Caenorhabditis elegans: one gene and its partners. The main gene of each other region encodes a partner of the protein of the gene in region 2 in a complex. Each region holds a gene or a part of one and is shown on either strand. Other genes may lie near its edges. The genes, in order: pid-1, pid-3, ife-3 and tofu-6. A codon is read from its position in the direction of its gene.

Region 1 (7,262 bases), on a different chromosome or scaffold from region 2:
CAAACGATCAGCTCCATTTGTCTTGAACTTGCAAAAAGAAGATTGTCTGCACATTTCAAAGAAAATCGAACTGTACGAGAAATTTGGGATAGTTGCTCTTCAAATACTTGACAATTGTCCAAAACAAGAGAAAGTATTAATATTAGATGGAAGACAGCCCTTTGATTACGTTACGAATCGAGATGATATCAAATTTCATAAAGGTGATATTGTACGTTACGCAAGAATTCGATACTTTGCACTGGATGAACACTTGGAAAGATTAGAGAAATGGTTTCTTCAATTGGGATATTCTGATGTCAGAGAAATTGGTAATATTGATGGATCGGCTGAATATCCAGAAGTTGCTGTAATCGGATGTATATCAACTTTTATGCCATTCCCATATCTACAAAAGACCAGAAGAAATTATACATCTTTGGCAAACACGAAGTATACTGTAAGTTTAATTATTGAAAAACCAAGTCTTACATAAAAAGTGAACAAAAATAGTGCTGTAATTAGTTGGCATGATCTGTAAAATTGTATGTTTTTCATATAACAACTCTATATTCAGATTCCAATATTCTATTTTCGAAACAATAGTGGTCTTGACTGTGAGGAAAGGAGAGTTTCAAATGTTCTTCGACGTGTTTTGGGTAGATTCACAGTGGCAACATCTCGAAACTGTGAGTGTGGACCAGGGACAACGTCTACGACAATTTGGAAGAACTGTCAGTTACACCGAGGAACAGTTGAAATTACTGGATCACCAGAACAAAAGAGCCTTTGCAAATATAATTCGATTCGTAAAATTCAAGATGGTCAACTTTGGATCCATGATACTTCTACTGTTTCCAATTTGGATAGTTTTCCGCGTCTAGAAGAAGTTGAATGTGGCCCCGTGTGGAATGAAACTGATAGGAGAAGGTTGTCAGCTGTAAGAATAGATGGATACAATCAGAAATTTGAACATGTGGAGCTACTAAAGATGAAGAAAAAAGACGATCAATGTTTGAAATTTGTAGCCGTTGTTGGTGATAAGAAAAGACTTCCAAGATATTCAGAATCTGAGTGGATGGTTAGTTAAATCTTTTTGAAAGTCTCTCATAAATTGCTGATAATAAATAATTTCAGCAGGAGCACGATGACCTAAATGACATAGCTATCAATAGAATTGGAAAAAGTAAGAATTGAGTTTTAGAATATTGTATAAATTTATACATATGTATTTGGCTTTCAGAATGCGTTGGGTATTCTGGAAAATTTGGTGGTTTGGCCCGAATTATCCCATCAACTCGACGATTGTGAAGTTGTGGAAGGAGATCTTGTAATTGATGGAAGTGCTGGTGGTGTATTGAGAATGGCATCGGGACTTCGAAAAGTGAAACGAGTTCTTGGGAATGTGATCATCAAAAATTTAAGATCAGACTTCTGTGAATTAATCAAAAATCTGAAATACATTGATGGTGATCTCATATTTGAAAACAATCCATATCTGAGAAGAACTTCATTATCGCTGCGAGCTGTTAATGGAAAGATTCGGATGATTAGAACGCCTCAACTATGCTGGGAAGTTCAAAAACTTCGTAAAGTGGTACAAGCTTTCAAGATGAAGCATATATATTCTGACTGCGCCAACAGTAAGTTTAAATTCAAAAATCAAATGAATAGGTTATTCGTTTCAGTTGAAATGGACACTTTATTTGAAGAATACGAAGAAAAATGCACATTCGTGGAAATAATTGTGAGCCTCTGTGTATTGGCGTCAATTTTGATATTTGTTTGCTATGTGATGATAGATGTTGTGATCATCTTCCTGAAATCCCTGAATTTCACTCGATGGAGAAAAATAAAAGAATTGGACATTCATCTCAAAACTGACCCAACAGCTTATTTGGACGAAAAATCTTCAGATGAAGAACCTGATGTGATGACGTGGAAGAGGAGAATTCTGGTTAAAAATCGTCTGGATGGACGGGATGTGATGGGAGAAAAAAGGAAAAAGGAAATGAAAGAATACCGAGCAAATCGAAAAACAATTAATTGGAGACGGAAGCTTGGAGCATTGACGAGATCCATTCAAAAGAACGAATCGGATAGTGAGTTCTCAGGACAAAGTTGGTTGAGAAGAAAAGAGTCAAGAAAGAATGCAAAAGAGATGAATGAAGATCAAGGAAAATATGAAAAAGAAGGTCTTCCGATTGCAGTACTGACTGGTTTAGGAGAAACAAAATGGAAAGGAAGAACGAAGAACATGGCACTTGAGGCAAGAAAAGCTGATGAACGAGAATTGGAGTATTTTGAAGCAGTTCATAAAGCGATCAAAGAAATAATTGACGATGCAGAAGGTGACGAAGAAGATCGAATTCTGATGATTTTGGAAATAATGGAGAAAAGGAAAATTATTGAGCCGAACGAAATTATCACGGACACGAACAAATTCGAAGAGCTTCTGGTTCAACTGGAAAATCATTTGAGTGAACGTGAAAAGGAGAAGTGGATTGCCTGGGCTAAAAGGAAACAACAATTACGAGAGACGGCGATCACGACATATGGAAAAGGAAAAAGCTTTAACATCTACGATAAGCCAGTTAATCTAGAAGAAGATTATAGACTGAATGCTGGTGTTGATAACTCGGAAATGTTTGTGAAAGTGAAAATAGAAACGATGAACTGGAGGTCTTCGGATGAGAGTGGAACTGAAGATCGAGAACTTTAACTTTATGTCGTTATTTTTAAAATGTAATTTATAAAATTTTTGAATTCAACGAAACATCATTTTTATAAACTCAAAACAAGATGAAACAGTAAAAACAGTAAATTAACAGTGAAAACTTATGCAATATTCGAAGGAATGTCGTCGAAAATGGATCTGGCTGGCTTGTGATTGGCCGATACTGGGGTGTGCTTCTGGGGGGTAATTCTTGGACTTCCAGAAAAGGTGAACTGGTTGCTGGTATTCTGAATCGCTGGAGAGAGGAATCCACGTCCAGCTGGCAACTGAAAATGATATAATTTTATGCGTGAATTTAATATTTATTTCTTACCGGATTAGATAGGCTCAATCCGGCTGAAAGTGGTGAGCCAGTTCCATAATCATTCTTCTTTTCTTTTCTGAAAATTAAAACATTTGTTATAATATGTGGGTACTTCACAAACCTATAGATAAAATGAAACTCGTCGCAGTCATTATGTTTTTCGATGATTGTTCTCGGCTTTGCTTTCATTTCGTATCCAAGGGCTGCCAACTCGAAACGATCGCTCAACGTCACCTAAAATTAAAAAAAGCTTTCGTCATCAACATTAATAGATTATTACTTTTCTGTGAAGATTTGTATTGTAGTTGAACCGTTCAGCGCATTTGTGTGCGATATTTGTGTCTTTTTCAATATCCGAGTCGGTTTTTAACGAATTCTGATCGATTCTTTTCTGAAAAAAAGTTTTATTGTTATTAATTCTGAAAAAATGATAAAACTCACTTTAAATGGTGTGGATGCCAAAGTAATATGCGAAAACTCCCTTTTAGCCGACATAATTGGAAAATTCGAATGTCAGCCGAAGAAATTGTGTGCAATAATTTTAACACCGTTACTGTAAGTTTTAAAGACACATGTCCATTTTGAAGGCATGGGTCTCGAAGCGAAAAAACTTGTTACGGTAGCGCGCAATTAAAAAACTTGTAAAAATCTTTTTTTTTAGCTTGTTAATTAACGTTAACAAAATATATGAGAATATAGATGCAGAAAAAAAAGAAATTTCATTCGATGAATGTACATTATTGAGAAAACACAGTCTACCTATTTGAGACTAGTTTAAAACAGAAAGAAATTGTAAATTAAGGTAAAAAACCTATACTCTTTCGTGGAAGCTTCCTGATTCGTCCGATTCATACCCATCGTTTTCAAATCCATCATTGTCGTTGATTTCGCTCCGAACCGAATATTCAACTTCAGTTGTTTCTTGGAATAAATGAGTTGGTGTCATAGGTACAGTACTATGATCATCATAGACTGTTACTCCAAAATTCTCTTTCATGTGTTTGGTGAAATCTATTTTACTAGTCGAACTTACTCCATCGCTGAAAGTATTTGGAATAATTGATTTCAGAAGTTTGAAGAAACTTACATCATTGTATTTGTTCGACTTCTTGTATGTTCAATAAGAGCTTTTGTAAATACCATATTACTATTTAAATCTCCACGTGCAATCTTCTTTGCATCTTCATCAACCAAATGCTGTAAATTAATTATGAATAACAATATCATTAAGCGTATTACCATACCTTGTACTTTCTGACCAATTTAGTCTTATCCATCTCCTTCATATTGTTCTTATTAACTAAAATTGGTCTCAAATAATTATTGTTGAGTGCATTCCACGAATCACGAATCCAATGATGCCCCTTGAAACCGGCAATGTCTTCCATTCCAGCCATAGTCGTGTCGATAAGCTATAATTTTCATTTCACTGGAATTTTGGTTCTGAAAACTCACTTCGCTGTAAATATGCTCAATCATGTTCTTTGAGTGAACATTCTTTTTCTCAACTTGTAGGAATTCGGCAATTGGTTTCAGTGTAATTCCCTGAAAATGTTAAAAATCTATTTTAGAAGTATTGGAAATAATCCAGATTTTTTTTCAAAATTTAACTAGGCACATTAGAAGGCTATGTAAATGAAATGCTGAAAAGTAATAGTAAGGTATGTTTTTTAAAAACATCACGGGTATAAAATATAGCTAGATTGTTTAAAAAGATACCTGGAGGAATACAGTGAAGTAGATGACAATGATACAACTGGTGACAAACATATTCTTTCCGGGTATAAAATCTGGAATTGCAACGACAAGACCGTATGCAATGGCACCACGAAGACCTCCATAAGCCATGATAAATTGGTCTACCTGTATGAAACATATACTTTTTTTTATCAAATAACACAAATTAATTCTCACCTTTGTGTACTTATTCAGACGATACTTATTCAAGAAATAGCACATAACAACAACTCCAAGGGTACGGTAGATCAAGCAGAAAACTACAGTAAGAACGATGAAAGATGTGTCCCAGTGATGGTTTGAGGATACTGTTGAGAGTCCCAAAAAGACAAAGATAACTGTTTCCGATGCAAGAGAAAGCACTTTGATGAATGATTCTGTGGCTTTTACCGTGTCTGGGTCCACATTTTCACGGCAGTACTGACGCATGGCAGCACCACAAAATACAATTCTGCAAAAATTTTATTGAAAATTAGTTCTAGTTATATTTTGTTTCAGTTTTACAGCTCTGGAAGAGAATTACGGTTTTTGCCAAAACTTTTCATATTAGTATCTTCAATCTCTAGACCTTAAGTTTACATTTTAAAATTCCGATTTTTAATACAAAATTTAATATGAAAATATGAGTAGGGCTAAAGTTTCAATATAAAAAAGAAATTCTGAAATAAATTAACTTACGCCATAATACTTGAAAGACCGAAAAGTTCTCCACAAAGATAACAAGTGTACGGAAGAATGAGAATAAATACAGAATTGAGCACTTTGACCTCTTCATCTCTAGCAAATCTTGTAACAAGACTTGTCAAAAATGCAAAAAGAAGACCAATTCCAATTCCACCAAATGCAACAACCAGGAAAGAAACACCTCCATTGATATAATCAGATGTTATCAGATTCTCAGTTCCAATTTCAGAGAAGGTCAAGAACATTCGATAAAGTACAACAGCAACTCCGTCGTTCAATAGAGATTCTCCGAACACGGCAATAAAAAGAACTTCGTTGACCTGTAAACTTTGACTTTGTTATCAGAGAAATTTGGGAGACTGTCTCACTTTCAATTCCTCGAAAATGACAATTACAGCAACTGGATCTACATCAGCAGCAACTGAACCGAAGAGAAGCATATGCATAAGTGGAGTTTCAACTGAGAATAATCCAGTCAAACTGATGGCCCATAAGGAGAGAGCTGTAAATTATTAGATTTATTTCCAAATTTATCTTTAACTAGGCATAACGGTTTCAAAGATATTCAAAACTTTTCTAGACTATTTCAAATTGTTATCTTATCACTAAAATTGCTAATGTCCTTTGAGGTTACTATTTTTGAAGTTACAAGCTACAAAATTATCATTATTTTTAATTGGAGTTTGAAAATTCATAGTCATGTTGTTTTACTTTGTACATAAATATATTAGTTGTGAAAATATTAAAACTAACCAATTGCGACAATATTGAATGAAGTTCCAATCATTGCAAAACAAAGAATTGATCCAAAATTATCGAAAAACTGTCTTGCAGGCATAAAGTATCCGGCATCAAAAACAAGTGGCGGAAGTAGATAAAGCATGAATACTTCACTTTCCAGGAAAAATGCATTTTTATTGACTCCGATCAATTTGAAAATGATTCCAATAATTAAACCAATCATGATGAGTAACGCGGAATCCGGGAAAAGTTCATTGAGATGTGGAATCAAGTTGAAAACTGAAAAATTGACAATTTTTAGACTGTCTTTTTAATATTGTAATAACTATTGTTTATTCTTTTTCTTCCAGGACATTCAAGTTTTCTTCGAAAGACTTGGAAAGTTGATTATCAAACAAACAGATTTACAATTTTTCAGAATAATTTTGATCTCAAAACATATATTCTTTGTAAGATTATATTTAATTTATGATAGACCGAAAATGCCAATTATCGAAACAAGTCTTTTTAAGTGTCAACTCTTCAATTCCCTGATTCAATTAGCAGTTTAATTTCCTGAGCATCCCAAAGTGGCAGCTACGTACTAATTTTCGCAATCGATGCTCCAATCAACCATAAACAAATAGTCATTGGAATCTTGACATTCTCCCATTCAAAATAAGCAATTGGATATCTAGATGGATATTCTTTTTCTTCTTCTTCACATTCTGCTCCAACATAGCTCATAATCAATAAAAGTCCAACGACGAGCACCCAAGGCCTCCGGAGAAGAGACATGATTTAATCACTGAAAATTATTTCAAATTCCAAGAATCAAAACAACCGGAAATAGTTTTTTGTAAAAGTTCAAAAAGAGCATGAGAGAGAGACGAGAGAGCGCTATGTGCTCTTGATGTTAAAGCAAACGAAGAACTGATAAAAAGTAATTGATAATAAAGAAGAGAAATAGAGATACGAAAGAGAATGAAATTGGGAAACATGGTAATAGGATTGGAATCTTAGGTATGGCACTTGTGTCGACAGTATTTAGAAGCCGATTACTGTCATTTCCAGGTGAAATTTGTGATTAAATTTCAGGTC
Region 2 (7,522 bases):
TACCTACTTCTTGTCTGCTTCCTGTTTACGTGCCCATGTCTTTCAGGCTACCTACGTACCTACTAGCAAGGCATAGGCACATACGCACAAGGAATGAGGTTCAGCGATCTGCGCTTCGTGGCCTCGAATAGGGGAAACTTCGGCCACCGATTTACAGGCCACTTTTCAATTTAATTTTTTGCAGTAGTACAATTGCGAGCTGACGTCATCACCGTTCCGCGGCCGCCCACAGGATCTCTCCCATTTTGTTTTTCAGAGCCCTATATTTTCTTTCATTTCTTCAGTTTTTTTGCCACGTTTCTTCCTCTCTCTCTCTCTCATCTTTCCATGTCATACCATTTGCCCAAACCTCGCGAATATTCAAAATGACTTACTTTTTAAAAATGCTGGTTTTTTATTGATTTTATTGATTTTTTTCTGTTGACTATTGTTTACAAGAAAATAGTTCGTTCTTTCTTTGTGTACTCCACGTGAACAAGAAAACTTTGCGCGTCAAATATGATGTTTCGGCTGTGGAAATGCAATAATAGGAACGTGAACCTTTGAGAAGTATAAAAATAATAATAGTTACGTAATTTTATTTGGAGGGGGGGGGGGGGGCATTTTCAATCATTTTGAATTTTTCACAAGCTAGCAAAGTAGCAAATTCGAAGATGGCGCTTGAAAGCATTGGACAGCGAAGCAAGCAATTTTATTACGGTAAGTGACGTCACTCCCCGTAAACTAGGCCACCTATGACGTCATTCAGACCATGCCGCTGGTGACACCGCAACTCAGAAGCACATTAGCCACGAGAAGAGCCAGATCAATTTGGAAATGACTGGCGAGCCAGGAGGAGGGGAGCGCCGATATTTTGAAGGGCTTGTTGGAACTAAAGAGCTTGTCATATTATCTGCACTGACCATGTGCTTGTACTTGATCAATGGAGAGTATGCACAGGTTATTGATTTTTTGCAGCCGCCATCTAGTTTTCTGTTTTCAGACAATTTGCACCGCGCTGACGTCAGTGCCGCCGGCTCTTTTTTCGTATCGAGTTTTGACAAATCAGATGACTGATAAGCAGGGATATGTGAGTTTCGAATTCCACTACGTGGTCGCGAAAAAAAAAACTCGGCCACCAACGTAATACACCGGATTTTTTCCTCCTTCGTTTGCGCGTAAAACATGGTGCATCGATGTCGGTGTACCGCACGGCCGTATCCACTTCTGGCTTTCTTCACATTTTGAAATGGAAGAGTTTGCCGAATTAGGCCATTTTGTCTCGGCCACGGTCGGGGTAGGTTTACGGCGCGTTGCGTGTCGCGTCGCGGCTCGGTTTTCATTGTGAAACTAAATGTCTTGTCCGCGTGGAGTACACGACTTCTCCACCCGTTGTCCGGTTGGCGATTGTCAGTGGAGCGCGAAAAATGCAATGAGGGAGACTGGAAGCCCGTGTACCCATATTTTTCACAGGGTTCTGGCCTGCCTCATTGAATTTTTCGCGCTCCATTGAAACTCCACACCGACAAATACATTTAGTTTTACAACTGAAACCGAGCCGCGACAAGACACGCAACGCGCCGTAAATCTACCCCAAATATGGCCGAGCTAAAATGGCCTAGTTCGGCAAAAACTCTTCCATTTCAATTTATGAGGGAAGCCAGAAATCCGTGAATAGTCCCCATATAATTTTGGTGGAAATGTTCTAAAAATCGAAAAATCCACTAAACTAAAGCTAATTTTTCCAGCACTCAATTCTGTTCTACTGGACCCTTTACGGGCTCACTGCTCTAATCGATCAATTCGCTGGAACAGCTCAAGGATACAATCTCTGCAAGTGTGGCCTCCTTGGCGTATTTTTCTTCCACGCGGTCCGCTCCAACTTGTCCGCAGTGCCCGCCACCTGGAAATTCGCGGAGAAGCTTGAAGTTCTGACGTCACTGGTTTCACAGCTGGAGACTGATGGTTTTCTGCGGAACTACGATGCGATGACACCAACGATAACCCAGTTTTCTGAGGATGACTCGCTGCAATACATATTCCCAGTGGAAGAGAATTTGGAAATGAGCACAGCGTGCAGTTTCGTGCCGTCACTTGATATGCAGAGCACCCAGAATCCGTCTCCATCTACTTTGAAAACTATGAAAATCGAGGAAAGCCGGAATTTCCAGACCATGTCGGCGATGACGTTGGCCTGCGGTGGAGCTGCAGCAGATATTGTCACCGTGCCGGCCGACCGGATCACGTTTGCCGCTGGCAAGCTGGAAGAAGTTATTCGAGTCACTAACGTCTCGCAATCGCATATTATGTTCGCTTTGAAGGTGAGGTCTCGGTTTGGCGCGTAAAATTGTATGTATTGTGGTTTTTGTGCAATTCACCGACTTCAATGCATCGGACTTTACGCACAAGTTGGTACTTTGTGATTTTCCAAACATTTTTGCTGAAAAAAAAAATTGAAAATTCGAATTTGCGTGTAAAATTAACTCGCAAATTATTACGATATTATCAAAATATATAAACTGACATGTGAAACGTGGCTTATTTTTTATTTTGTTTTTTATTTAAGCGCCTCCCATTTTTTTAAATGAGCTAATAAATAAAAATTTTAACGAAAGGCCAGGAATGGGAGGAGCTTAAATAAAAAACAAAATAAAAAATAAGCCACGTTTCACATGTCAGTTTATATATTTTGATAATACTTAACACAAAATTCTGAGAATGCTTATGGCGCAACATATTTGACGCGCAATATATCTCGTAGCGAAAACTACAGTAATTCTTTAAACGACTACTGTAGCTCTTGTGTCGATTTAACGGCTCGATTCTAGATAGAAATTTTTAGATAGCTAATTAGATATGGATTTTCGAAATATCGATAGAATATTAAAATTAAGCAAAAAAGTAAATAATTCGAAGAAACGAATTGTTTTCATTTCGAAAACGAAACCCGTATATCGACACAAGTGCTAAAGTAGTCCTTTAAAGAATTACTGTAGTTTTCGCTACAAGATATTTTGCGCGTCAACATTCTAGAAATCTAGAAATTTCTAGATTTCTAGAAAATCTAGAAATTTCTAGAAATTTCTAGACGCATTCTAGAAATTTTGTGCTCCCGTAATATACACAAATTGAATTGTATAATGTAAATTGTTTGAAAACCGATAATTTCAGACAAATGCCGACGCCTACCTCATCGCTGCTCCAACTTCTGGAGTTCTTCTGAGCGGACAAAGCATGACAATCCGTGTTGGAGTCACTGGCAACTACTTCGATGATTTTTCGGATCCTGGAGTTTCCATTGATAAGGTTATTTTATAATTCTATTGAATAAAACTTCAATTTCCGATTTCCAGCTCGCCATCGACTATGCTCTGATCCCCAGCCGTTCCTACTCCAAATTTTCCTCCGAGTTCTTCTATTCCCAGAACCGACGTCGCCTCGCAATTCGTGTGTTCTATCAATGATTTGTCTCTTTTCTCGACTTTATTTTATTTATTTTTGTATTTGTAAAAAGCTTTTATGAGTAAAATTGTGTTTAAATCATGTTTTCCTGGCATTTCTACTTCCATGGGAGATTTCGATCCCTAAAACTGAGGTTTCAAACAAGCTGCAAGTACGCTCTACCGTACGAAGCCATTTTCAAACGCGGGAAATTGTTTCAAAAATTAATTTCGGAGATTTCTTTTTCATTTTTTCTGATTTTCTCGGCCTGTTTCTTCAGTTTTCTTGTAAAATTTACTGTTTAATTAATAAAAATGTACATTTTTCAGAAAATGGTTGCCCATCAGAAGGCGGATTTCAAGTCGAAATGGGCGATGGTCGTGACTGTCAATAACCTGAATGACAAGAAGCGAGCCGATTTGAGAGAATTTTCCGAGTGGTTTATCGAGACTTTGAGATTGGAAGGAGCTTTTATTGGTCACTATTTCAATTATGAGGTTATTAAGAGTTAATAATTAATTAATTATAAATGCAATAATTCCAGGCTGCACCGGTGACCATCGTCGAGACTTTGCCAGGCAATTTTGACTCATGCACTAATGCATATCAGAAGATTCACAAGGTTTTGATGGATAAATTAAATAAAATTCAATTAAATAATTCTTCAGGAGCATCCGCAGGTCGTCCTCGTCGTGCACATTCTTCCACAGTCGCAGTCGAACGAGTACGAGTGGATGAAGGTGTTGGCGTCGAGATACGGATTCGTCCGTCAGGGATTGCTCTACGATAACTGTGCCAATCGTTTCCAAAATGTGGAAACCGATCAGAATAGCGTGTTCCGGAACATGTGCCAATGGATTTATCGTAGCGGCACCGCGATTGTGAGAAATGAGGGAAAGTAAGTCGAATTACATTTTTTTATTTAGCCATTTTTTATTTAATTCCTGTGTGTTTCAGCGCGTGTGGAATTCTCCATGGAAAAGATCCGAAACCGACGTTCGACAAGGTTCTCTTCAACAGCGAAGACATCAAGGATTCCGTTTTCAAAGTTCTTCACGCCGAAGAAGAGCCGAGAGGTGCGGATCAGGAGAACATGCTGAAGATCAGTGGATATCCGGGGATGCTCAACACGTTCGGCATCGCACAACTTCTCACCCCATATCGTGTCAATGGGATCACCATCACCGGCGCCCAGTCGGCCGTCGTTGCCCTGGAGAACAAGTTTCAAGTCTATCAGGCCGTGCAGGATTTCAACGGGAAGAAGCTCGATCGCAATCACAAACTTCAAGTTAGCAGCCTCGTCGTCTCGTCGCCAGCCGTTCCACTCGAGTGGCCATCGCTCAAAAAGTCGAAGAAGCTCGTGGAGCAAGTGGGAAAGCCGATCAGACTTTCGAAAGTCTCCTCTTAAATGTGCCCCAATTTGCTTATAAGTTATTTTTTTCTGATTTCTGATGATCTTTCTTCGATATCTCGACCTTTACCGGTTTTTTTAATCAATTTGCTCATATTCCTTGATAAATAATCTCTCCATTAGCATGTGCGATTTTTTTTTCATTTTAATCTGTTAAAATCGGGGCTCGATTCTTGTTTTCGTTGGAGAGAATTGTTCTTAAAATAAGTAATTTTTTAGATGGAAGAAGGCAGCTCCTCACAGCCATCCGACGACTATGAGCCGAGATATAAAATTTGTAAGATTTTCCAGGTCTCGACACGACAATTTGTGTTCATTACAAATAGGTGTGCGCCTTTAAAAAAGTACTGTAATTCAGAGAAGATTTTCTGCGGAATTTTGATAGATTTTTCAGAGTTTTTCTCTCGATTTGTTGAAATTCAAGTGTTTTATTGTTATACTAGAACATTAAGCATATTTTTACTAAAAAAAAACAAAAAAAATCGAATAAAATTATGTGTCGAGACCGGTGTTCGGCCCAAAACTTCCACAAAAAATAAAATCTCGAAAAAACTCGTGGCGAGACCCAATTTTCTTCCAGCACGACCAAATCAACAAATGCGACTTCCTATAATTCGGCCTAAAATCCCGCCGAAATCCTCAGGCCCACCGGTTCGCCTGATCACCTCCGCCACTCCACAACCGATAGCGCCGAGCACATCGAACCCGCGGCCGCTGATCTCACTGCTCGATCGGACAGAGTTTCGCGATCGGAATCGACCGGCGCTGGTGCCGACGAGAATGATGGCAAAACCGAAGAAGTGCTATTACACAGAGATGGCCGATATTCGAAAGGAATTCGGAATACCCGAAGCGCTGGACACTGTGAAGCCGAACACGATGAGCGGCGTTGGTCAGTGCTCGGATGAAATTTATTTAAAATTCGAAAATTCCAGTTTTTCGTATAATTTTCCACTACCGCTGCTACCGATACGGGACCAGGTCTCGGCACGATAACTCAAACGGATGTGCGCCTTTAAGTTAACTTTAAATCGGTTTTTCAGTCTTTTTTTAACGAAAAACTGGAAAAAGTACCTTTAAAGGCGCACACCGGTTTTTGTTTACAAAAAATTGTCGTGTCGAGACCTTTTCGCTCAAAATTTCGAATTTTTTCAGCACTGGCGTCAAAGCTCAACCTCCTACAACGTCTACGCGGCGAGAACAAATTCCTGCGCGAATCGATCGAAACGAGACAATCCACGTGCGACGAGCGGCTCGATCAAATCGAAGGGTCTCGCAACGCGACCGCCGAAGCCGCACAATTCTGCCAGGCGCTCCGAGACGATCTGAACACCGTGGAGATGGATATCGCCGGACTACGGGCTCAGGAAGACACATGATTTATTTGGATTCTGCGGATTACAATAAAGTACATTTAATAAAGAACAATAAACCACCGTTTTTTTTTTGGATTTATGTATGTGTCAAAAGTCGTCAGAGAGGGATACCCAGTAGATATGTTGAACAAGGGGGGGGGGGGAATAAAAAAAAGAATCTAATAAAACAGAAACGCAATATAAAGCACAATTATTAGAAAGAACACTGAAAAAAAACAATAAATTAATTTATATTAGCACTAATATTTATTGCTGATACTTTTTCTTTTGAGCTTCGTACACCTTCTCCAGCTTTTTGATCTGACTCTTCGTGATCTGAAATAATATTTAAATTAAATAATATCTGTAAATAAAATAATTTCAGAGGCACCACGAATTCAAGATTGGTGGAATTGCGGATCTACGTTCTCCGGATCTCGAAGAAAAACGCCGTTTATTTGGAAATTTTCTTCTGGAAAATACGCGTAGATCCGTAATACCACCAGATCTTGAATCCGTGGTGACTCTATTTCGTAGTTTCGTCGTTTTACCTCCGTTCCATCAGCCAAATGAGTCGGTACACCTCGTTCATCAAACTTCGAGTATTTCCCGACGTGCTCTCCCTGCTTGAACAGCTCTTCCGGCTTGATCTTCTTCGCTGCCGCCTCCTTATCAGCCTTCTCCCGAGCCTTTTGCTCCTTGTCCGCCTTTTCCTTATCCTTCCGCTTCTTCTCGGTGTCCTTCTGCTCTTGCTCTCGGAGCAATGTGGCACGATCCACAAGCTTCACAACGGTCTGACCATTTCGATCCTCGAGGCGAACTCCGAGTTCGGTGAGGGTCTTGTCACGAAGAGTGTCGCATTCCTGAAAAATTTTGAATTATTTTATTTATTTTAGAAAAAATTAAAGAAAAAATATAAAACCTCAAGAATTCCATTAACTTTGTGCTCTTTTGCGATAAGCCGAACTTTTTCGCGAAATTGAGCAAGAGCATCCAGGTACGGCATGACGACGGCTTCCTTGTTAAACGATGTTGAAGCTCCTTCGCCATTGCACTCATCCTCGGAAACGAATCCGATCTCCTGGTTGCTCTGTGGAATTGCTCCAAAGATCTTGAGCAGATTTGTGATGTAGGCAGCGATATTTCTGAGCAACAGGCAATTCGGAACGTGTCCCTCCTTCTCCTTCTCCACAATATAGGCATTTCCAAGGGAAATCAGCTCTCGGAACTTCTCGATCACAGATCTGGTATCCACCGAATCACAAAGCGCCTCGTGAACTTCCGACTTGAGCTTTCCAAATTCCTCCATAAGCTTCAACTCTTTTCCTTGGAATTT
Region 3 (7,563 bases), on a different chromosome or scaffold from region 2:
CAATTTTGTCAATCTCTTGGTCTAAATACGTTCTATCGTTAGATAAATCTAACTATCTAACTGAAACGAGTACAACTATATTGTAACGCAAAAAAGCTAAGCGCCATAAAACACAAGTAAAACAGGCTCCAGTAAGCCTAAACTGTTTTTACTATAAAAAACCATTGTCATTCACCTACCTACCAAATGCCAATATAATTGGTTGAAAAAAATTAGTTTAATCTCCTCGCAAGATTTTTTTCTCCGAAATTTAAGATTGGGCGCTTAGTGATATCATAACTCTGCAGCCATCAGAAAAACTGAAATGTATTTAAACTGTAAGTTTTAATCGTTTTATGAGGATTATTTCTTTAGTTGACAGTTTTTTGATAGCTTCTTTAGTTATTGAGCTACGGGCTTCCAAACAAAACCAATCAAAAACCACTATAAACCACAATGTCCTAAAAGTGAAATTACTCAGTCAATTTTTAACCAAATCACGGCATTAATGTCTTGATATCTTCATTGAACAATTTGTAAAAATCGTAAGGCGGTAGTTTTTTGATAAATGTCATCGTTTTTTAGTAAAATTGCGTTAACCATTCAAAAATGGCCCATTTTTGGTGTTTTCAGGCCTAATTCTTGTTTTTGAAATTCCGGAGCCAGTTTTTATCGAAAATTTTTGTGCAATGTCAAAAAATGACCGGAAAAAAATTCTCTACAATCGTAAGGCGGTACTTTTTAAAATTTCGTTTCCATTCTTCCCCAGGGATCCCGTAAAAAACCAATTTTTCGACTAGGTCTCACATTTTGCCCTACAAGAGCATAGTTAATGTTATAAATTTGGATTTTTTGGTCGAATTTGATGAGGTAATATTCAGTTGTTTGTTTATTGTTGGAAAATCTGAAGATTTATCAGCGAATCGCCCGATTTCGCCAATTATGACCAAAAAACCCCTAGTTTAGGATTTTCACGAATGGATGAGTTCATTGATACGCTTCCACGCTGTTTTTGGTTTCATTCAGACGCTACTTGCCTGATCTATCAGTCTAACAATTTTTGTTTAATTTTCTTCACTATCCGCCGTTTATAGTTCGTTCTTCCGTAATCAGTGCAAAATCGGTTCAAAAAACTCACTCTCTCGCCCATGAGAGACGCAGAGACAGTTCATCACGTTATTTTATTTAATTATTGAAATGAAGAGAGGCCGTGATTTCTGCTTTTAAAAAAGTTGATTTTTGGAAAACTTGTCAAACAGCACGTGTATTTTTCTAATAGCTCTTTTCGAGGCATGGGTCGAGCTGAATACACGTGAAACCGAAAAAAGAACAAGAAAAATCGAAACTACAGTACTCCCTAAAGGCGCACACTCTTTTCCATAAATTATTTTGTTTGATCGTCTCGAGACCTGGTATCGTAATCTTGCGAAACAAATCGCGAACTGTCGCATCTCATTTGAAAACTGGGCAAAATCCTTATTTTATGTAAATTGGAGCTCATTTGGCGCTGTAAAATGCAAAAACATAATAAAAAAGTGCATTTCCAGGTTCCCCAGACGAAGAATCCGACGTTGATTCCGGTGATTCAATTTATCGAAAGAAAGTCACCACATTCCGACGACGAAACATAAATGCCCCATTCGGAGTTCGTGTTCCTTTCAGTAGAATGGCCTATAAAGCCGGTTATGGATCAAACAGAATGGGCTATCGGAACACGGGATCCCCGCCACCCCCACAAATAGGTGGCCTCTACGGTGACCGTAATCCGAATCCATATGGCACAGTGAATCTTGGTGGAGGTTCCCCATATCCTGGGGGTCTAGAAGAGTACAATATCCGGCCGGCCGCTCCATTTTCCGGACTGGTCGGAGGAAGTCGATCTGGGTACTACGGGAGCACTGTTGGTATGAGACGGGGTGCCGTTGTGCCGCCTATGAGCTCCAGGAAGACGAAAATTCCACAGACTGAGTATCCACGTAAGTATACGATTTTTCTATGCGCTATAAAATTCTTTAAAATCCGCTATTTTCCAGCTGATTACGCATCTAACGACCTGATGAACAGTTTCAATGGAGCTACAAATTCCGCGATCCCATCACTTCGCGAGCTTGCCACCTATGCGTCACGCTATGGTCCCGCATATCTTCGCGAACGATTCGGAAGCCATGATTCCCAACTTGAGCGTATGCTTTATGGCGGCAGTGGACCACAGATCCCATCACGTGGAGGAGGAATTCCCATAGATTACAACATGAACATTGCTTCGAATCACTGGAACCGAGGAATTGGCTCTCCGATGGGAATTATGTCGCGGGATGTTGATTCCTATCAACACGACGATGCGGCCAAAGCAAACAAAAAGACCACTACCGGCTCGCCGAGCACGACGAGCACACGGAAACCTCGGAAAGCTAGGAAGCCAACCAAGAAGACTGTTGCCGCAGCTCCTTCGTCTAGCTCGAACACATCGACTACGGCAAAGCCTGCAAAAACTGTAAAGACATCGGAGAAGTCTGCCTGAAAACAAGAATAGAATCAATTTTTAAAAATGTACAAAATCAAACGCCCTACAAATCATGTGTGTGAAGAAGAATAATAACTAACATATCTATTTATATTTACCGAATAAATATATATTCATCAATTAACCTGAAGAACAAACGAATTCGGCTACAGGCGTCGATCAGTCTCGAATCTAGTAACAACAAGAGAGCAATACGAAAACCGGTAAATCAATAGGGGGAAGCGAAACAGTAGGTACAAATTGGAGGGGAAGCACCAATACATTAGGTGGGGGGTACGACTTGAAAAATGAGCTGATTTTCGAATAGTTAAAGCGATGATCGTGTCCGAAAAACAGTTCATTTTTCAAGACAACATTGAGACTGGGAGTACGGGGAAGCTCATTTACGGTGAGAGGAATTGGTGAGATCTTTAGAATATGCTTAAGGAGTTGGGGTGGCTGGAGAAGTTCCTGTAGCCTCCGTGCCGGGATTCGATGGAGAAGTCGTTGCGGCTGGTCCCTTTTCCTTCACTGGTGCTGGATCCTTGGCTGGAAGACATATGCGTGGCTTGACAGTCGATGAGGTGCGAGCCGACGAGTCCTTGTGAACTTCGTATCTGGAAATATTTTACTTAGATAGCAAATACTAAAATTGTAAAATTACCTCAAAATCTCAGTATCCGGAATGCTCAATTTCTGCTTCAAAACCTGTCCGATGCGAAGATTGACATCATCGCGAGTAGCATCACGAGTCCACAAGGAAACCTTGTCACCCTTTTGACGAACATTCACGACAGCTCCGCAGATGTAGTCTCCGTACTCGTCGAATTGCTCTCCAACAATAGCCATCAACAGCTCCAACCAGTAGTGATCGAGCAATTGCGTTCTTCTCTGAAGCTTCTATGATTCATTGAATAAAATATATTTCTCAAAACGTACTTGCTTATCGACAACAACCAACCAACGTCCACCTTGAACGTTGTTGACGTCCTCCCACATTGGCTTGATTCCTTCCTTGAACAAGTAATAATCGGATCCCCAGTTCAATCCTCCGGCAGACTGAATGTGATTGTACAGCGACCAGAAGTCCTCGACAGTGTCGAAAAGTGAAACCATCTGGAAAAAATCGATAAAAGACGTATTTAAAAATCTTCTACCTTCAGACAATCCTCCCATTCCTTGTTACGGTCAGCTTTCAAGTACCAGAGAGCCCAGCGATTCTGGAGGGGGTGTCTGGTGAGAAGCTCTGGAGGAACTGAAGCATCGGACGCATTCACATCGCCGGAAGCTGACAATGCTTTGTTTTCCGCTACGGATGTGCTCATTTAGCTGAAAATAGGTAATATTATATACGATTAGAGCTCGGAAAACGATAAAATAGAGAAGAGTATGAATTTGGTTCAAATAACTCGGATTTTATAGGAAATTTTGTTTTACTGCACATTTTCGGCTAGTTTCCAAGCTTTTTAGATTTTTCAAGTGTAATTGGTAACATCGGGCACAATAAATTGATATTAAAGCTTGGAAAACAATAAAACAAAGTAGAAAATGAATTCAGCTCAACTTCGACGAAAAATCATCAAATGATTCGTTTCCCATGAAATTCCTAGTAGTTTTTAAACATTCTAGCTGTTTTTTAATCGTAAAAGTGAAAAAAAAAAGAGCGATTTCCCCGAAAAACCTTGGAAAATGAAGAAATGGAAAGAAAGGCGCGAATCCTGAAATTCAAACACCAGACACACGCAAAACGAGTGTAACCGTAGTTTTTGTCGTTGCGAAGTATCTTGTCTGCGGAATTGCGCCCCCCTTTAAACAAAACAGCGGAAAATATGAAAATTATTTTTGTATTAAAATAAAAATCGAGTTGTTTAGGTAAAATTTTTCAAATTTTATTGAAAATTCGGTAAAATAATGAAATTAATCGCTGAAAACTCGTTATTCGCACAGAAATTGAGCTCTTTCAGGGAATTCAGGCTAAAAAATTATATTTTCAGGTTTAAAATTCAAAAATTTATTTTCCAGATTGCAGTCGATAATCTGAGTTTTCCCAAAAAATGTGCATTGTTTACAGCCTGTGGTTCTCAATTTCTCCAATTTATCCACGAGTGCGTCTCCGTTTTCTTTTCTCCTTCTGCCGCATTCAGCGTCGCCGTCGTCGTCAGGAATTCATGAGCCGTCCCGGTGTCTCGAGCTCTTGTGAGCATACACACAGACACATACAGCAGCAGCCTCCACAACATGCACATATAAATATATCGGTCTGGGTGTTGCTGCTGCTGCCGCTGGGCGCCTTTTCCCTCTCTGTGTGCCTCAACTCGTCGCACATATCTCTCTCTCTCTCTCTCACTTTGCCTTGTTTTCCCTGCCCATCGTCCCGTAAAAAGGTGGCCAGACAGTTCTCCGAATCGCAGAGACGCAGCAAGCGTTGCCCCGAGGCGCCATTCGTCTAACCTACTGCGTCTGACACCCCGCCGTCAGACGACGTCGGGGGCCCTCCGACGACGACTTCTTTCGCTGTATTTCTCTCTCTCCTCCGTCTCCTCCTCCTCTCCACCACATCGATTTTCCCGTTTTAGAGTGTTGGCGGTGAGCCATAGTCACGAATACTTTGTCTATTTTTTCGGCGACGGCTGTTGGGCTTCTCTTCTCTGCGTCTCTCGCACTCTTGTCCGCCTTCTGACCGTCATAATTACCACGTCGTCCACGTAAAGTCTTCGGAGAGCGCCACGCCCCCACACACACATACACACAACATTTTCGTAGCCGCATTATTCTCCTAACAATCATCGTTTTTTGCTAGTTTTCAGTAGTTCCACAGACTTAAAGGAGGATCACCGAAATTCGAGACTTGGCTTTTTGGGACCCAAAATGTTCCAAAACTAATTTCGTAATGAGATGTTCTGAAAATTTCTCAAAAAAAAAAGTTATGACCGCTCGGAAAATGGTATATTTTCAGCTAAAATCTTAAATTTTGACAACTTCTCAGTGTCGCAGCGGTAGGAACTAAATTTTGATGTGATTATCACTTTTTAGTATGTATTTATTTATTTTCATTTCCACTCACACACGCGAAGCCCACAGCATTTGAAATTCTATAGTTTGTTTGCAGAATAGAGGTGTGCGGCACAAAAAGTTTACTGGAAAAAAGTAAACTTTTTTTGCGGCAAAAAAGAGTCGGAAGCTCAATTTTTTCAGACTCTTCTTATATATTTCGACAAAATAATTATGTTATCATTTCCTATTTAAGCGTCTTAAATTGTTCGCATAACAATGAGGAATTCCACGTTATATGGAAACGCTGTAAAAAGATCTCTGGTGAAATCGCGCTCCACGAGCTATTGAAAACGCTCCAAAAAACGAAAACTAGTTTTTTTTTTAATTTTTAAGTTCTTAATACTTTTTTCGACGTAAAATTCAATAAAAACAACGAAAATACCGTATTCCCTCTATTAGTCTTGCATGCAAGACTAATTTTCAATTGACCCGTAGGGGTGCAAGACTAATAGAGACTGCAAGACTATTAGAGGCTGCAAGACTAATTTTCGAAGATCCAATAGCTTTGTAAAATTGATAATTTATCGTCAAAAATTTGACTTGAAACTGTCTAAATCGTGCAAAATACATACTTTTCTATTGTTTTATCAATTATTTGAACACTTTAAAACTTAATTTGGCTAAAAAATGGCGAAATTTTTGAAGTTTTCACAAAATACTGCTGGTCTGGCAAGAATAGGGGTGCAAGACTATTACCGTATGCTCTCTAATAGTCTTGCATGCAATACTAATAGAGGCTGCAAGACTAATTTTCGATTGGTCCGTAGGGGTGCAAGACTAATAGAGGAAATACGGTATTTGAAAATTGGCGAAACATTTGAATTCACAGTTTTGCCGCCACATGCCTAACGAGACCTATGGTTTGGGGGCGGAGCTTTGCCAATTTTCCGTGGAGCGCGTTTCCACATCGATTTCGAATTATGTTTTTTTAAATCTAAACCAATGAAAAATTCAAATTCCTGTGCCTCCGGCTTTTCTCAAATTCAGCCGCGACCAGTGTCTATAACGGAGACTGGAAAATTCATATTTCTCAGATTTTCTACTGAATTTTTAAGTTTTCTATGGATTTTTAAACTTATTTTTTGGTAAAAAAAATAAGTCGAGTGAAATTAAAAATTTATCGAGTTCAAAAACTCGAAAATCGTTCATAAAATTCAAGGTGCTCCACGGCCAAAAAACCGGGTACAACAAAAAATTGGCGGTAAAACATTAAATTCGAACGTTTTCAATTATTTTCAGTAGTTTTTCGATTATTTTTACGCGAAAAAAGGTTATTATCATATACAGCGCATTTTTTCCATCTCTACGACTTTGAAGGGGCGCATTTACGCGCGATCGTCTTGACACGCGCCATTCATAGATTTTTGAGGCGCGTGACGAGACCATGCACGCACTTTTGAACACCTGGTGTCACAGTGCCCCATTTCGGTTTGATCTACTTAGATCTGCGAAAATGCGGGAGTTGAGACGCAGAGTTCTCAACTGATTTCGCATGATTAAGAACATGCTGACGTCACATTTTTTTACGCGAAAAATTCCCGCATTTTCTGTAGATCAACCCGTAATGGGACAACCTGACACCGCGTGTTTGAAGGGGCCACAAACTCGTCGTTTGGCCGTGGAGCGCGTTTGCACCTCGATTGCACTTTTTCGCGCAAGAGCCCATAAGAGGAACTAAGTTATATCAGATTTTCACTGGAACACACAACAACTTCCAACAGATTAGCTTCCTACTCGGTACTCTTTTTTGCCCCCCCTTGCCTCATTGTCTACGGGAGGGGGATCCTCTTGTGTAATACGTTATTAAATTATGCCTGTCAGAGCAGCAACACACACAGACAAGTGAGTCGTCGACTCAAAAAAAGAAGAGAAAATAGAAGAAGAAGTGGATCTTCTTCTTCTTTTTCGGCTTCTCACTTTTCTTGATGCACCATACTTTTTTTCTAGTTTCACTTGCCTCTTTCTCTCTCAGTTCCCTGAAGATTTTCGTATTGTTCACAACTTGTTCTCGCGAACAATTCTACGAA
Region 4 (7,906 bases), on a different chromosome or scaffold from region 2:
AATTTCGATGAATTCTTTGCAGCTCAAGATATATCTCAATTCCATGCTTTGATAATTAAGAATCAATGTTTGTACTTTAAAGTGAACAAACATCAAGTGAAAACTCAATCGTACCATGAAAGAAGTTGGAAGCCACGTGCAAGAGAAGAAATCCATTATTTTAATTTTCCGAATTCCCTGGGAGAATTGTATTCTGTGGAGAAGAATAAGTTGATTCTAACTGTAACACAAGAAGAAAATGATAAGAAAAAAGTGATTTCTCGAGTTGAGAGATCGGTTGTCGATGGACAAATGAAAGAAATCTGGGAGAGAAATGGAGTCATTTGCGAGAGAATCTTCAAGAAGGTTTGTGAATATCTTCGTTTTCCAACTCTCAATTTGAATTCCCTCTAAAAACATTAGACCAATCAGAGGGGGTGACAACTGATTGACAAGTGATTGATAAAAAGCTTTCATTTTAGAGGTTTTTCAAATTGGAAGATTAACAAGAGTTGTGTTATTGTTAGGTACAAACTGAAAGCTGGAATATTACTTTTTTTTTTAAATCTGTTTCTCGTTCCAAAATAATTATTTATTTTTTTCAGATTCCTGACCAGAGAGACTCACGTGCTTACCCAAGAAGCATCTACGGATCGGAGAGCCAGAATATTTATTATTAACTTTTTTTTTTTAATTGCCTCCTCTCTATAGATTACTGTACCGCTTCTCATGTTCCAATATATATTAATAAATCTAATTAATCCGTCAATTTTCTTTCTTGGCCATTTCTCTATCTTTCTCGTTCACTCTCTCTCACACGCAAATTTTCGAGGGTTGGCTGGCTGGTACCGTGGAACTAATAACCACCTTTAGCAAATAGTGTGTGATACGAAGAGAAACAAAGAAAACGAACAGATGCTCTTATTCTGTTCTCTGTTCTCTTGGTCCCGCCATCTACGCATCGATTGTGTGAGAACACCCACCCCGTGTGGTGGTGTGACCTCTCCTAGAACAAGAAAGATCTACATTTTCTTTACGTGCTTCGGTTTTCGTTTTGTTATTTGTCTTGCTATTGTGCACTGTAGTGGCATAGGACTCTAGGTTCCACGCCTAGCTTTTTATACGACATCTAAAAAATATCCGAAAAAATCGTTGAAGATTGTACTGTTTCGAGCATCTTAGGCTTAGGCTTAGGCTAGACTGGGTAAGGCTGCAAACTTCCTTAAAGTTCTTGAAACAAATCATATCGAAGATGACTGAAATCGACATACCCGATTTTCAAGAAATATTATTCAATTATTCAATTCAAAAAGTTCATGAGCCCTAATTGATATTAGCAGAGATACCCTGTTGCAGCCAGTGTATCAGTATTGCACCTCCACTGTTCGTCAGTCGATAATTTTTTCCATAGTTAACCCAGAGAAAAGTAGATCAATAAGGATATTCAAATTAAGGTGCTGAAGTGGAAGCATACTGACTTTCGAAGATTTTGCATATATCTTGTTTTTTTGGCGATTTTCCTTTGCTCACATAATATACCTATTCTTATTTTCAGACTTGGTACCAATTTCATTCTTCTTCGTCTCCTTAACCAATGTCTTCGCATAGCCGATCATCCAGTGATTCGAGTTTTGAATTTGTGAAGGAAGATGGCGAATCTCAAGTGGCAAAGATGGCATTGAAAATGGAACAGAGGTCGAAGGAAGTTCAAGATGCTTTAGATATCCTTAGCATCAATGGAGATGTTTCTTCTGACGAAGAAGCAGTATCTGTAAAAGAAGAATCTTCTGATGAAGCGGGAGTTAACACTTCCCAAGAAGTTATTCAGAATGATGATACTGAAGAATCTGAAAAATCGGAAACTATATCTCGTGAAGTGTCCAACACCGATGAATTCGGGATTGGAAACAATGTGGGATTTACTGCAAAAGTTGATGATCTTATTGAAAAAATCGCTGAAGCCGTTAAGGATCAACAAATATCAGAGACCACTGAAATTCGTTACAGTGATCCACTTGGGGCATTGGAACCTCTCGTGGGTGAACCCAACGAAATTGAAAAATCAGAACTTTTGTCTGAAATTCGCCAATTACGATCTGAAATCGAAGAGATGAAAGAAACGGAAGTGAAACAAAATTCAACGGTATAGTTTTTTGTAGGGATAAAATTAGTTGAAAATGTTTTTTTCTAGATAAGACTTCTCAAACTGAAGTTCGACGAGATTGACGAAAGGGAGAGACAGAAGGAATTACAGGTAAATTTTTGGAAGGAACTTAAGGCATCCATGGCATCGGTGGCAGGCAGGCGTACATGCCTGCCAACTCTCAATTTTTTACATTTGGAAGTGAACTCCAGTGCAATTTGAATAATGTAGAGCTACTTTGAACCAAAAAACTCCTGAAACTAAATGGATTTTAATTTTCGCAACATATTTTCTGCGCAAATATCTCGTAGCGAAACCTACAGTAACTTTTTCAATTCGAACTAAACTGAAAGATTTGGGGTTACAGTAGTCATTTACATATTACTGTGGATTTCTCTTCGAGATATTTTGAGCGTTAAATATGTTGCGTAATAGGCATTCTCAGTTGGAAATATCTACATAATAATTTAAAAAAATCATAGGCTTTAAACAAAAGATTTTGTGAAAAATCAGTCTCATTTTGGATTACAATTCGGGAGTAGCTTTCCTAAAACTCCTCCCTATCAATATATATTCCATCAAAAATTTGTTTTAATTTCCAGCGTTACACTCCGATTGCAACTGGAATCTGCGGTGCTTGGCGGCTCTCCGAGATCAATAAGTATAATGAAACACTCAAAACCCGTGGAGTATCGTTCCCAAATCGTCTGAAAACTCTTGCTGCTTACACCGTATACAACTTCGATGGTACTTATCTGAAATCTCACAATCAAGTTTTTTGTAAAACGTTTAACAGTGGCTGTTTGAAACTTGGAACTCATGAGATAACCGGTGGAATTGTTGTATCAACCTTCATTTATAGAAATAAAATGATAACAATTTGGAAGAATAAAGATGGAACTTCTTGTGTAAGAAAGGAGAGATACATTAAAGATGGAAAATTGTACAATGTGCACACAAACAATTCCGGCGAAAGGACTATACGCATTTTTGAACGAGTTCAGGGAAAATCAGATATCTTGTACTCAATTGCAAACGTCGGAGGACTCTATCTCAAATTTTGGTGATCACCTGCTTTCTTCAATCCACACAACTTGGTCTCGCAACGAAATATCATCTTAATGATTCTCAAATTCACAGCATTAATTAATTCGCTATTTTATTCAATAATTTTTAATTTTCTCCGTCCATTTGTCTTTCAAAATTTTTTAAAGCAATTTTTAATCATTTTAATCGTTCTCCGTGGGAAATAATGAATCTTTTCGAAATTCTGTGCCTGTAAATAATGATTTCAAGGGTACTGTAGTTTTTTTTAAACAAGTGCGCTCTATTGCACACCGCTGGAATACGCGCGAAAAATGGGAGATTTCATTTTTGCTCGCTTTTTTTGCATTTCAAGCATTTTTTTAAAATTAAAGCAAGAATATTTTCAGTTTCAGAATTACATTTTTTAGAGATGGCTTCCAGCTCGACCGCATATTATCTGAAAGACGCCGGATTCCATATTCGCAATATTCCGAAAGCTTGGAATGATTGGAACTTGTTCCATGTCTTCCAAAACTTTGGAAAAGTCAGTTATTGCCGTGTTGTTGGACAATCCAACGATGGTCAAGTTCAATTGGGGTAAGATAGTGAGACTCTAGAAACGATTCATTTAAAATCTTCAGATTTGTGAACATGATGTCGGTAGCAGATGCTGATGAAGTTCGCAAGAATTTGAACGACGGAAATCTGATCGGCGAAAATTTCACGTTGAAGGTGAGCGTTGCGAATATATAAATTCAAATTAAAACTGTAATTTTAAGGTTACCGATCATAAGAACGTCGGAGGATCTCTTCTCCCAATGGCTTCCAATTCCGTTCAGAAGCTTGTATCATCTCCACCATCGAAAAGCGGACCAGTTCTTCTATCATCATCCTGGCTTCCACTCAACAAGGATATCGAGGTTTCTTACTTTTCCTTCAGCTTATATTAAATTTTCAATTTAGGTCGAAGTTGTCGACTATCTTCCATCCTCATCAGTGGCTCCAGATCTTTTCGCGTTGACTCTTCTCCGCATAAATGATTCGTCAATGAAAGAAAAATATGATTCAATGCACGAGAAAATGAACGCGTATGCTCAAATTGTTCCATTCGATTCGGAGCTCGAAATTGGCTACGATGGAGTCTTCCGTGATGCTCCCCGTTCCGTTCGACGCGTTCGACGCATCTCAGCCACCAAGCTTTATCTCGTTGATTTTGGAAAAATTATCAATTATGAGAAGGCAAAATGCTTCCAATTGCCAAAAGTTTTCCAGTCGATGCCGACAAGGGTAAGAGTTCCATTCAAATGTTTAACATATTTTTTCTATTTATTTTCAGGTTTCCTTGTGTGGACTAGATGGTCTTACCTGGTCACCAGTCGCCATTCCATCATTTGATAATATTCGCGAGGTTGTTAAAAAATGGGGACAAATGGAAAATTCGACGCTTCACGCCATGGCTTGTGGATTTCAAGGCTCTATTAACATGATCAATCTGTTCTGTGGAAAATGTGCGTTTTTTCTTTTGAAAATTCCCCTCATAATAATTTTTACAGCGATTCTTGCTGACCGTCTTCAACGTAAAGGTGTCTGTGAATACTTGCCACGCAGTCAGCAGCCACACTATGCATACTCCCGCGAGACTCTTCTTCAGCACAATAATTCTGGAGTGGTGAGATTTGATGATTTAAAGGGATTTTCAGTTTTAATTTGGCTTTATTTTCAGACTGCTCAAATTTCGAACGATGCTGATGTCGTCAAAGATCTACTCAAGAAGATTGATGGAGTGAAGAACATGCTCCGTGAGCTCGAGCTGTAAATCTGTCCCATTTTTTTTGTCGAAATTACATTGAATCTATGATGTTGTCAAAAAAATGAACATTTTAATTCAGTGTCAGATTTTATAAGAACAACAACAAGAAAAATAACAACGAGAAAACAACAAAAAGAAAAGAAAATCAACAAGAAAAAAATCAAGAAACTTTGAAAAGTGAAAACTAATCGCTGTTCCAGGCGTCGTAATTCAAGAAGTTGGTTACAACATTGTGTCGCATCCTTTCCATCTTGCCGGAAGCTTCACGAATTTTTCCTGCCAATTCAGAGGAAGATCCGTTTTTAAGCGTCTGAAATGAAATTAATATTATATTTTGATAACATTGTTCGCGGTTACATTAGCGCTCATGGCCAGGGTAACACCGTCCAGAACGATTCCGATGGCTGCAACGCTCTGCAGCATTCCTTTCATAAGTGCATTCGTGAGATGGCCCTAAAAACGAAGGTAAAAATTTAAATTTCAAAAAAACAACTATTCTACCATGGAAGATGCGGCCATTTTAATTCCGAATCCTGTGATTCCGGCGAGAGAAACACCAAAAAGTGTTTTCAAATGAGACTGGACATCGTCGAAGTTTTTGAAAATCTTTGACGATTGCTTGTCCTCCACAAATCTCCTCACTTCGTTCAACAAATCATTTCTCGAATGAAGAAGTTCCTCAAAAAACTTCGCATCCTCCGCGAGCATTCGATTGATTTCTCTGATTTTATGATCGGTAGCAAGCTTCTTGTTCACTCCAGTTGCGACATTTGAGACGCCGGAAGCTGCTCCAACGATGAGACCAGCAATTGCAACTGGTGGCATGAAGAATAGTCCTCCGAAAACTGCAAGTCCAGATGCAATATCAACGGAACTTCCGACAGTTGTTGCGATGGCTGAAGCCTTCTCCAATCCGTCAAGCTGAAATTTAGAAAATAAATAGAAAAACTATGTTTTATCGACCTACATCTTTAGCAATCTCCTCCATTCGGTTCATGATCTCTTGTCGGTTTGAGCTCCAACGATCGAGGTGCCATTGAGCTCCCCAGGCTTTAACCTGGAGTTCCTTTGGCATTTCTTCGCCATTCTGAACAAGAAATATAAATTATAAAAAATGAATTTGAATAAAAATCTTACCATCAACGTGCTTTTCAAAGATTCATAGATTGACATATCGCTTTGCAGTTTGTAGATAAGTCTCTGAATCAGTTAATTTAGAATTTGAAATAGTGAATAATTTAATAAGAAAACAAGAATTTAAATGAAGACAAGTTACAGTACAATAAAAAATAATTCCTTAAAAACACGGATTCGTTTTTGATTTTTATTCTGAGCAATGAGGTGTCTTTTCAAGACCACCTGGAATATTGAACATCTGAGCCTTTAAATTAGTACTGTAGAGTATACTGTAGCTCGCATTCTTTCTGGATTTTAATCGATATTTACCATTTTCGGGTTTCCGTTATTTTCACAATGCCCACACTTGAAGTGCCGAATTTATTTTATTTATTCGCATGAAACTTTCGCAAAATAACAACAAAACAGTAGTGAAACCCAGAAAAATTCAAAATCCCGATATTAATGTTGTACAGATGATTCTTGTTGATGTGGATCCATTATCAGTGACTGATTTGGAGATTCTGGCTGCACCATTTCAATAGAACCAACATCGGAGAGGACGTCATCATCGTCTTTCCAGACGTCTTCATTCAAAAAGTGTTTTACCACTTTTTGGCGCATCATTTCCATTTTGGAAGATGCTTCTAAAATAGAAGATCCAAGTTCCGACACGGATCCTTCTCCAAGAGTCTGAAATTTGTATATTTTATTTTGAAAATTTCAAATTAATTGTTGTACCTTGGCGCTCAACGCCAATGTGACACTGTCTAGAACGATTCCAATTACAGCTACACTGTGAAGAACTCCTTTGACAAGAGAAGAGGAGAGGCGACCCTGGAAAATAAATAATATTGATGAAAAAAATAATAAAAAGAGCTTACCATCGAAGTAATTGCAAATCTAGTTCCAATTCCAGTTATTCCAGTAACTGATCCACCGAACACAGTTTTCAGCTTATTTTCAATGTCCCCGTCGTTTTTGAAATGTTTAAAGAATTCCTCATCTTCAACAATTTTCCGAACAGCTTCCATAAGTTCTTCTCTTGATTTCAGAAGTTCTTCAAAAAGTACACCGTCTTCTGCAATCATTGCAGCTACTTCTTTGTGCTGCCCTTTTGTATGAAAAAATTTCGTGATGCCTGTCGCCAAATTGGAAACTCCTGAAGCTGTTCCAACGATGAGACCAGCAATTGCAACTGGTGGCATCAAGATAAGTCCTCCAATAACTGCAATTCCAGATGCAATACCAACGGTACTTCCGACAGCTGTTGAAATTGCACATCCTTTCTCCCAATTATCCAGCTGAAATTAAAAATTTTAAAATTCATTTTGATTAAAATCTCGCATTAAAGTACATACCTTCTCAGCAATTCCTTCCATTTGTCTGACAATTTTTCTTCGATTATTGCTCCATTTGTCCAATAAAAACTGTGTACGCAATGCTGTTTCACTCAATTCTTTTGACATTGACCTTGGAATCTAAATTCATTAATAATTATATTACGAAGACGGGAATTTTTTGTGGAAAGATGCGGTACCCGGTCTCGATACGACAATTTTTGTTAAATACAACCGGATGTGCGCCTTTAAAGAGTACAGTAGGTTCGAAGTATAGTGGCTTGGAATTTTCATCGACTTTTCATAGTTTTCTCGCAATTTTTTGAAAATGTTTGTGTTTTCATTGTTTTAGTTTATTGAAAACAATTTTTTTAGGGAAAAAAACAATGAAAAGTCGAGTAAAAATCCGCAGCAGCAAAAGTTTGAAATTACAGTACTCTTTAAAGGCGCACACCCGCTGGAATTTTACAAAATACCCAGTACCGTATTATT

The links.
Region 1: pid-3 (region 2) and pid-1 share a complex: the UniProt entries of both Caenorhabditis elegans proteins name them as parts of the pid-1 variant of the PETISCO complex.
Region 3: pid-3 (region 2) and ife-3 share a complex: the UniProt entries of both Caenorhabditis elegans proteins name them as parts of the tost-1 variant of the PETISCO complex.
Region 4: the proteins of pid-3 (region 2) and tofu-6 are in contact, whole or in part, in a crystal structure (PDB 7D1L), measured with the Caenorhabditis elegans proteins. Residues at the interface, in NP_491011.1 of Caenorhabditis elegans: Pro225 (codon at 4,577), Tyr226 (codon at 4,580), Asn245 (codon at 4,637), Lys246 (codon at 4,640), Phe247 (codon at 4,643), Gln248 (codon at 4,646), Tyr250 (codon at 4,652), Gln251 (codon at 4,655), Gln254 (codon at 4,664), Asp255 (codon at 4,667), Val273 (codon at 4,721), Val274 (codon at 4,724), Ser275 (codon at 4,727), Ser276 (codon at 4,730), Pro277 (codon at 4,733), Ala278 (codon at 4,736), Val279 (codon at 4,739), Leu281 (codon at 4,745), Glu282 (codon at 4,748); in NP_001293507.1 of Caenorhabditis elegans: Ala23 (codon at 3,645), Trp24 (codon at 3,648), Asn25 (codon at 3,651), Asp26 (codon at 3,654), Trp27 (codon at 3,657), Asn28 (codon at 3,660), Phe30 (codon at 3,666), His31 (codon at 3,669), Gln34 (codon at 3,678), Gly37 (codon at 3,687), Lys38 (codon at 3,690), Val39 (codon at 3,693), Ser40 (codon at 3,696), Tyr41 (codon at 3,699), Cys42 (codon at 3,702), Met61 (codon at 3,803), Gly80 (codon at 3,860), Glu81 (codon at 3,863), Asn82 (codon at 3,866), Phe83 (codon at 3,869).

The regions. Positions count from the first base shown.
Region 1 is NC_003280.10:7,686,989-7,694,250, forward strand, and holds pid-1 (Protein pid-1), read right to left. Parts: upstream 3,569-7,262; 5' UTR 3,516-3,568; coding exon 3,462-3,515; intron 3,412-3,461; coding exon 3,301-3,411; intron 3,255-3,300; coding exon 3,142-3,254; intron 3,097-3,141; coding exon 3,030-3,096; intron 2,983-3,029; coding exon 2,818-2,982; 3' UTR 2,702-2,817; downstream 1-2,701. Other genes in the region: F18A1.1 (Receptor L-domain domain-containing protein), read left to right, coding at 1-439, 557-1,060, 1,223-1,622, 1,668-2,701; nhx-2 (Na(+)/H(+) exchanger protein 2), read right to left, coding at 3,832-4,060, 4,108-4,217, 4,265-4,432, 4,476-4,565, 4,740-4,883, 4,935-5,208, 5,436-5,761, 5,810-5,943 and 2 more. UniProt on the Caenorhabditis elegans protein: Component of the pid-1 variant of the PETISCO complex which is required for the biogenesis of a class of 21 nucleotide PIWI-interacting RNAs (piRNAs) that possess a uracil residue at the 5'-end (also called 21U-RNAs).
Region 2 is NC_003279.8:2,616,907-2,624,428, forward strand, and holds pid-3 (Protein pid-3), read left to right. Parts: upstream 1-3,743; 5' UTR 3,744-3,752; coding exon 3,753-3,917; intron 3,918-3,964; coding exon 3,965-4,042; intron 4,043-4,088; coding exon 4,089-4,318; intron 4,319-4,377; coding exon 4,378-4,828; 3' UTR 4,829-4,953; downstream 4,954-7,522. Other genes in the region: ctn-1 (Alpha-catulin), read left to right, coding at 185-203; spe-47 (Major sperm protein), read left to right, coding at 654-699, 749-939, 983-1,069, 1,728-2,300, 3,151-3,285, 3,333-3,443; Y23H5A.2 (t-SNARE coiled-coil homology domain-containing protein), read left to right, coding at 5,051-5,108, 5,412-5,723, 5,987-6,210; cars-1 (Cysteine--tRNA ligase, cytoplasmic), read right to left, coding at 6,454-6,522, 6,738-7,049, 7,109-7,522. UniProt on the Caenorhabditis elegans protein: Component of the pid-1 and tost-1 variants of the PETISCO complexes, which have roles in the biogenesis of a class of 21 nucleotide PIWI-interacting RNAs (piRNAs) that possess a uracil residue at the 5'-end (also called 21U-RNAs) and embryogenesis, respectively.
Region 3 is NC_003283.11:4,012-11,574, forward strand, and holds ife-3 (Eukaryotic translation initiation factor 4E-3), read right to left. Parts: upstream 3,819-7,563; 5' UTR 3,808-3,818; coding exon 3,640-3,807; intron 3,599-3,639; coding exon 3,422-3,598; intron 3,383-3,421; coding exon 3,147-3,382; intron 3,100-3,146; coding exon 2,925-3,099; 3' UTR 2,577-2,924; downstream 1-2,576. Other genes in the region: idpp-2 (Intrinsically Disordered Protein, expressed in Pharynx), read left to right, coding at 1,527-1,955, 2,013-2,500; B0348.10 (uncharacterized protein), read right to left, coding at 4,564-4,728. UniProt on the Caenorhabditis elegans protein: Recognizes and binds the 7-methylguanosine-containing mRNA cap during an early step in the initiation of protein synthesis and facilitates ribosome binding by inducing the unwinding of the mRNAs secondary structures.
Region 4 is NC_003280.10:5,417,701-5,425,606, forward strand, and holds tofu-6 (Embryonic developmental protein tofu-6), read left to right. Parts: upstream 1-3,547; 5' UTR 3,548-3,578; coding exon 3,579-3,745; intron 3,746-3,789; coding exon 3,790-3,880; intron 3,881-3,927; coding exon 3,928-4,068; intron 4,069-4,111; coding exon 4,112-4,435; intron 4,436-4,484; coding exon 4,485-4,656; intron 4,657-4,701; coding exon 4,702-4,817; intron 4,818-4,871; coding exon 4,872-4,964; 3' UTR 4,965-5,037; downstream 5,038-7,906. Other genes in the region: EEED8.2 (lipocalin/fatty-acid binding family protein), read left to right, coding at 1-345, 585-659; EEED8.15 (PHR domain-containing protein), read left to right, coding at 1,574-2,122, 2,171-2,233, 2,725-3,189; F07F6.7 (Apolipoprotein L, 1), read right to left, coding at 5,143-5,268, 5,316-5,411, 5,460-5,879, 5,926-6,045, 6,096-6,131; F07F6.8 (Apolipoprotein L3-like), read right to left, coding at 6,537-6,767, 6,816-6,911, 6,959-7,378, 7,436-7,555. UniProt on the Caenorhabditis elegans protein: Component of the pid-1 and tost-1 variants of the PETISCO complexes, which have roles in the biogenesis of a class of 21 nucleotide PIWI-interacting RNAs (piRNAs) that possess a uracil residue at the 5'-end (also called 21U-RNAs) and embryogenesis, respectively.